Linked DNA regions of Oryctolagus cuniculus. The protein of the gene in region 1 purifies or fractionates together with the protein of each later gene. This does not show direct contact. Links are inferred from orthologs where the notes say so. Each region holds a gene or a part of one and is shown on either strand. Other genes may lie near its edges.

Region 1 (3,817 bases):
TTTTGATTAGGCACTAAACTAATATGAAGTTGATCTATTGCTCTCTGGAGATGGCTTACTACCAGGTTAGAGTCAAGCCCAGGGGATTAATGTGTTCCTAGGCTGTCTTTCACAGAGATCAGTGGGGAGGAAATGGTAGTTGTGAGTGCAAGATTGAATTCTGGCTGGCTTGGAGTGTCAACCATTTGTTGACTTTTTTTAAAGATTTATTTATTTATTTGAAACTCAGAGTTACACACAGAGAGAAGGCGAGGCAGAGAGAGGACTTCCATCCACTGGTTCACTCCCCAATTGGCTGGAATGGCCGGAGCTACACCGATCTGAAGCCAGGAGCTTCCTCTGGGTCCCCCACCATGGGTACAGGGGCCCAAGAACTCAAGCTGTCTTCTGCTTTCCCAGGCCATAGCAGAGAGCTGGATTGGAAGTGGAGCAGGCAGGACTCGAACCAGAGCCCAAATGGGATGCCGGCACTGCAGGCAGCAGCTTTACCCATTACGCCACAGCGCCAGCCCCCCATTTGTTGATTAATGGACAAATCTGCATCACTGATTGGAGAAAGAGCTGCAAGTCTGAGGTGTTGAGCCCAGTCGACTCCTCTTTCCTAAAGTGTTTGGGCTTTTTCCCCACTTTCTTTCCAAGGTGGCTGCCATTCTAGCCCTAATGTATATTACATTAGAGCTAACGCTTCAGATTTTCTACTCCAGCTCATCAAACTGAGCTCTGTAACTTTCTTAAATATACTTTGTACGTACTTTTTACCCTTCTACCTATTTTTCTCAGTAACTTTACCTCAACAGTGATTATCATGCTGGGACAAGTAAGGAGGAGGTAGTTGAAAATCATTGGCCCTCAGGTGTTTTTTTTTGTTTTGTTTTGTTTTTAAGATTTATTTTAGGCCGGCACCGAGGCTCAATAGGCTAATCCTCTGCCTGCGGTGCCGGCACACCAGGTTCTAGTCCTGGTTGGGGCGCCGGATTCTGTCCTGGTTGCCCCTCTTCCAGGCCAGCTCTCTGCTGTGCCCTGGGAGTGCAGTGGAGGTGGCCCAAGTCCTTGGGCCCTGCACCCGCATGGGAGACCAGGAGAAGCACCTGGCTCCTAGCTTCAGATGAGTGTGGTGAGCTGGCCGCAGCACACGGCCACAGCGGCCATCGGAGGGTGAATCAATGGAAAAGGAAGGAAGACCTTTCTCTCTTTATCTCTCTTTCACTGTCCACTCTGCCTGTCAAAAAAAAAAAAAGATTTATTTTATTTATTTGAAAGACAGTTACAGAGAGAGGTAGAGACAGAGAGAGAGGTCTTCTATCAGCCGATTCACTCCCCAGATGGCTGCAACGGCCAGAGCTACAGCAATCTGAAGCCAGGAGCTTCTTCCAGGTCTCCCATGTGGGTGCAGGGGCCCAAGGACTTGGGCCATCCTCCACTGCTATCGCAGGCCATAGCAGAGGGCTGGATCAGAAGAGGAGCAGCCGGGATTAGAACCAGCGCCCATATGGGATGCCGGCGCCTCAGGCCAGGGCTTTAACCCACTGTGCCACAGTGCCAGCCCCTGGCCCTCAGTTTAAAACTGAAAGTTTATTATCCTGAAATTGTAAACCTCTGCAGAGACAAAGTATAACCTTCTTTTCAAATCTTATAGTCAAAGTGGGACAATTACAGGATAGTCAATGTGGAAAGGTGGCTTCTTGCCAGAGATAAACCAACCAACCAACCTTCTTTCCTTCCTTCCTTCCTTCCTTCCTTCCTTCCTTCCTTCCTTCCTTCCTTCCTGTTGTTGTTGTTGTTGTTGTTGTTGTTGTTTTTTAAGATTTATTTATTTGGGTACGGCACTGTGGTGAAGCGTGTTAACGCCCTGGCCTGAAGTGCCAGCATCCTATATGGGCGCCAGTTCAATTCCTAGCTGCTCCACTTCTGATCCAGCTCTCTGTTATGGCCTGAGAAAGCAGTAGAAGATGGCCCAAGTCCTTGGGACCCTGTACCCATGTGGGAGACCCAGAATAAGCTCCTGGCTCCCGGCTTCGGATCGGCACAGTTCCAGCTGTTGCGGCCAACTGGGGAGTGAACCAGCAGATGGAAGACCTCTCTCTCCCTGCCTCTCCTCTCTCTGTGTAACTCCGACTTTCAAATAAATAAATCTTAAAAATAAAAACTTTATTTTTTAAAAAAGATTTATTTATTTATTTGAAAGTCGGAGTTACACAGAGAGGAGAGGCAGAGAGAGAGAGAAAGAGAGGTCTTCCATTTGATGGTTCACTCCCCAGTTGGCCGCAACAGCTGGAGCTGCGCCGATCCAAAGCCAGGATCCAGGAACTTCTGGGTCTCCCACGTGCGTGCAGGGGCCCAAGGACCTGGGCAATCTTCTATTGCTTTCCCAGGCCATAGCAGAGAGCTGGATCAGAAGTGGAGCAGCTAGGACTCGAACCAGTGCCCATATGGGATGGCGGCACTGCAGGTGGTGGCTTTACCTGTTACATCACAATGCTGGTCCCAACTTTTTGTTTTTCATTTTTTGGATTCTAAAGTGTTATCCACCAGACTAAAACCTGTGCCCCAGATCTGGCCCACTGTTTTGTTGTTGTTTGTTTTTTAAAGACTTATTTTGAAAGAGTTACAGAAAGAGAGGGAGAGACAGAGAATGAGAGAAGAGATCTTCCATCTATACTGGTTCATTCTGCATATGGGCACAATGACTAGGGCTGAGCCAGGCTGAAGCCCAGAGCTTCATCTGGGTCTCCCTCATGGATGTAAGGGTCCAAACACTCGGGCCATCCTCCTGTGGTTTCCCAGGCACATTAGCAGGGATCTAAATCAGAAGTGGAGCAGCCAGAACTTGAAACAGTATCCATGTGGGATGCCAGCATCACAGATGGCAGCTTTACACCTACTCCTGTGCTACCTGTTTTAATCTGGCCCTTTATAGAAAAAAGTTTCCTGATTTGTGGTCTAAAAGATTAAAGTTTAGACCGTTTCCCACCACCAACTGGTAGCAAATATGCCTTCCTCTGATTTGCCATAGTTGCCGTGTTGTACTTTATGTGTTGCCGTGTATTAAAACTTCTGATTGTGTCCTGTCCTTCACTAGACTGTGAACCCACTGAAGGTAGGAACCAAACCGTATGCTCTTGTTCCGCAGTACTTACCACAGTGTTCTGCGGGTAGAGGGCTGTCTGTGGATGTTGCAGGGGCGTGCCAGTAGAACCAGAGGTTGGCTAGGAAGGCTTCTCCCCTAAAAGGAAAGAATAGCTCGGTTGGGAAGGAGAGTGAGGCAGCCCTTATCAGGAAGGTGAAGAAATTCTGTTCCTCGTGCGTGCAGGGGCATTAACGAGTCTGCTCCCAGTAAGCCCTCGCCTCCTTGTGTCCTCAGGAGTCGGGAGATGATGAATATCAAGGGGACCAGTCAGACACAGAAGACGAGGTGGATTCTGACTTTGACATCGATGAAGGGGATGAGCCATCCAGTGATGGAGAAGCCGAAGAGCCAAGGCGGAAGCGCCGAGTAGTTACCAAAGCCTATAAGGTGCAGGGGATTCCTGGTTCCCTTGGACTTTCTGAATTCCTACTCTCTTCTTCATCAGGCCCAGAACGCTCCATATCAGCCCCATTTCTACAGTGCCAGTTTTCTCCCTCTCTTTTTTTTTTAAACCGTGCACAACAATTTATTTATTTATTTATTTTCCGAAAGAAACCTTTTATTTAAGGAATACAAACTTCATGCATTTCATAAGTACAGCTTTAGGAATATAGTGATTTTTTTCCCACCATACCCACCTTCCCCCCAACATTCCCACCTCTCCTCCCTCTCCCATTCCCAGTCCCATTC
Region 2 (3,817 bases), on another chromosome or scaffold:
CTTGAAAACAAATGCTTGGCTGAAGATGAATAAAGTATCTTTTGAGAGTGATTCTTTGACTTAGCAATTAATATTTTAATAAATATAATCCACTTTTTTAAAGATTTACTTTTATTTATTTGAAAGTCAGAGTTACAGAGACAGAAGGAGAGGCAGAGAGGTCTTCCTTCTTCCAGTTCACTCCCCAGATGGCCGCATCGGCTGTGGCTGGACCAAGCCGAAGCAAGTAGCTTCTTCTGGGTCTCTCCTGTGGGTACAGGGGCCTGAGAACTTAGGCCATCAGCAGGGAGCTGGAGTGGAGGTGGAGCAACCAGGACTTCATTTCTCATTTGGGCTTTCATCTCCCTTACTGACTTTCCCGTCTCTAGTCTAGTGTCTCCCTCTAATTTAGCCTAAATATCACTCAGAATAATCTTCCCAACTGGCAAACATGAGCATATCACATTTCTGGGTTACCCTTCTAGGGTTACCCTTCAGTTACTGGCTTAATGGACCCTTGTGATGGTTTACAAGAAATTAAAAGAGAGAGATTATTTGAAAGACAAAGTAAAAGAGGAAGAGACAGAGACCTTCCATCTACTGGTTCATTTCCTCAAATAATCTGCAACAGATAACATGCTAAAGCCAAGAGCCAAGAGCCAAGAGCTCCATCCAGGTTTCCCATGTGGGTGGCAGAAACCCAAGTATTAGCCTTCAACCACTGCTCCCCAGGTGCATTAGCAAGAAGCTGGATCAGAAGCACCGTGGCACAGATTAATCCTCCACCTGCGGCACCGGCATGCCATGTGGGCACCAGTTCTAGTCCCGGCTGCCCCTCTTCCAATCCAGCTCTCTGCTGTGCCCTGGGAAAGCAGTGGAGGATGGCACATGCATTTGGGCCCCTGCACCCACATGGGAGACCGGGAGGAAGCGCCCAGCTCCTGGCTTCAGATCAGCACAGCTCCAAGTCATTGTGGCCATCTGGGGAGTGAACCAATAGAAGGAAGGCCTTTCTCTCTCTCTCTCTCCCTCTCACTGTCTGTAACTCTACCTCTCAAATAAATAAAATCTTTAAAAAAAAAAAAAAAAAAAAGTGGAGTAGCCAGGACTTGAAGCAGGCTCTCCATATTGGAATTCAGGCATCCCTTAACTCGCTGCACACAACTTTCACCTCTCCAAGTCCTTCTGTGATTCTTCTCTGCCTACCTTTCCTGCTATTGACCACAGCGCTCTCAATATTACAGTCATACTTAACTGTTTAACATTTCTTAACAGTTTGTTTCACAACTTCATTTGTGATGGTTCCTCTGCTTTATCCAATCTCATCAGCTAGGCTAATTCTTATTCACTGATCAAGATTCAGCATAAGTTACAAGTTACAGCACAGTTACAAGTTATCCCTGACTCCCCAGTGATACAAAGTTAGATTCCTCTCCTTTGCTCCCATTTCATAATGAACATAACTATATTACAGCACTTATCCTGTGGGAACTATATTTGTATGTTTACAACTGTATCACCTCCCAAGTAAGAGTTTATTGAGGAAAAGGAACATTTGTTATGCATCTTTGTTTTCCATATCTAGAACATCATTTTATAGAATACTCTAAATACTTCCTCCACAAAAGACTATGTTCAACTTACAAGAAGCCACTCCTCTAAGTCTAGAATGTTTCCTGTACTTTCTGACCAAATCCATGAAAAAAATATCATACCCATCCCATTTTTTAGTGGTGAAATGGCCTCCATATTCTCCCTGGGAACTCGTAGGGCATTGGTATCTATGTAGTAGGTGGGCCCGCCTTGTTTGCCTTTATCACCGTCTATTTCCATCAATGTGCTTCCATCATCTCTTTCCATCACCATACCAATAGCCGTTGGGAAATCCACCTGTAAGGGCCAAAAACATGATATGCAAGTTTCACCAGCTTTTATCAAGGAGCCAAGTTTTTTTTCAGCTAATGTCTTTAACCATTTTGTGTTGAATCAAATATCTTCATAAATTTAATGCTACACAAATGGCCCTTATACAAATACTCACTTGACTCTAATATTACATTACCTTGGGGCAATCTTCACCAGCATAACCAGCTCTCACAGTATAGGACCCAATGTCAAAAACAAGTGCGCCAACTTCATCTGAGAAGATTAAAAATAATTAACATTAACAACTTACACGTATCATGAAAATTAAAGGAATACTTAATGAGCTTAAAGGGAGAATATATGTAAAAGCTCTATGAAAAATTACAATAGTATTAGTTTGAACCTAGTTTTAAATGCATCTCAAAGATTCATTTACTTAAAATATAACAATTTATACGTTGTGTATTAGCAGAGGTTCAAAGAGAAGGAACTGCTACCAGAACCTGGTGAAAAGGTTCTAGAAGATGGGCTAACCTGTCAGTAGCTGTGAGCATCAGTTGCGGGCTGCAGTTACTTCTGAACACAAAAGGGGGTCTCATTAATAATTACTACTCTACCACTGGCTACATCCACGGAAAAGCCAAAGGCCAAGAGGGCTCAATGACCTGGACTCTAAGTGTCAGTCTTCACAGAGGCGAAATGGTGGAAAGTAGAGATAGTGGCCCAAAGGGAAGGAGTGAAGTTCATGTAAGTATCAATTTATCATAAATTAACAGAAATTGTACTTCATGTAATCAGGAAACTCCAGGAAAAATAGGGACTTGGAGAATAAAGAGTTTAATGTAATAGCCAAAAAAATCATCAAAATGAAAGTATTATCAAAGTCTGCATATTTCAAGATTATTAGGAGATAAAGTTTAATGCTGAAGAAGAAAGCTGGCAACTATTTGTCCATTTCCAAATTCAGAGAAAAGCTTCTAATTATACTTTTAAAATACTTCATCCAAAATAGGACTCCTAAAACAAAGCACCTTGGTTTTCAGGTCCTGACTTTTCAAAGGATTCAAGTATTTAAAAATAATAAATATTATTTACCTCATTAAATTGGCAAAAATTATTAAGTCTGGTAAGACCCAGTACTATCAAGGACTCAAGGGAAACAGGAGCTCTTACACATTTGCTAGTATAAGCTATAAACTGGTAAAACACTATATGTTATTAAGTTATATCCACTAAAGTTAAGAAACTACATACTTAGTGGTTATACTTAAATCTATTTGAGGGGCCGGTGCTGTGGGACAGCAGGTTAAAGCCCCAGCCTGCAGCACAGGCATCCCATAAGGGCAGCAGTTTGAGTCTCAACTGCTCCTCTTCCATGCTCTCTGCTATGGCCTGGGATAGCAGCAGCAGATGGCCCAACTCCTTGGGCCCCTGCACCTATGTGGGAGACCCAGAAGCTCCTGGCTCCTGATCAGCTCAGCTCTAGCTGTTGCAGTCATTTGAGGAGTGAACCAATAGAATGGAAGATATCTCTCTATCTCGCTCTGTAACTCTTTCAAATAAAATAATTCTTTTAAAAAAAAGTGTTCCAGGGTGAGTGTTAAAAAAAAATCTGAGAAACTGTCACATGTCACAAGAACAGACACAAGAATGTTCTCTAGCTATGTGAACTTGGGCAATTTATTAACCTCTGTGACTCAGTTTACTAATTTTTTTTTAAAGATTTATTTATTTGAAAGTCAGAGTTAAACAGAGAGAGGAGAGGCAGAGAGAGGCAGAGAGAGGCAGAGAGAGAGAGGTCTTCCATTTGCTGGTTCACTCCCCAATTGGCCACAATGGCCGGAGCTGCGCTGATCCAAAGCCAGGAGCCAGGAGCCTCTTCCAGGTCTCCCATGTGGGTACAGGGGCTCAAGGACTTGGGCCATCTTCCACTGCTTTCTCAGGCCATAGCAGAGAGCTGGATCGAAAGTGG

The links.
Region 2: the proteins of VPS72 (region 1) and ACTL6A purify together in Homo sapiens (affinity purification with mass spectrometry; 3 studies listed by BioGRID and IntAct, with this or other methods). This does not show direct contact. The link is inferred for Oryctolagus cuniculus from reciprocal best matches to the Homo sapiens genes VPS72 and ACTL6A.

The regions. Positions count from the first base shown.
Region 1 is NC_091438.1:46,923,098-46,926,914, forward strand, and holds part of VPS72 (vacuolar protein sorting-associated protein 72 homolog), read left to right. Parts: intron 1-3,361; coding exon 3,362-3,514; intron 3,515-3,817. UniProt on the Homo sapiens protein: Deposition-and-exchange histone chaperone specific for H2AZ1, specifically chaperones H2AZ1 and deposits it into nucleosomes.
Region 2 is NC_091435.1:100,239,557-100,243,373, forward strand, and holds part of ACTL6A (actin-like protein 6A), read right to left. Parts: intron 2,119-3,817; coding exon 2,042-2,118; intron 1,870-2,041; coding exon 1,695-1,869; intron 1-1,694.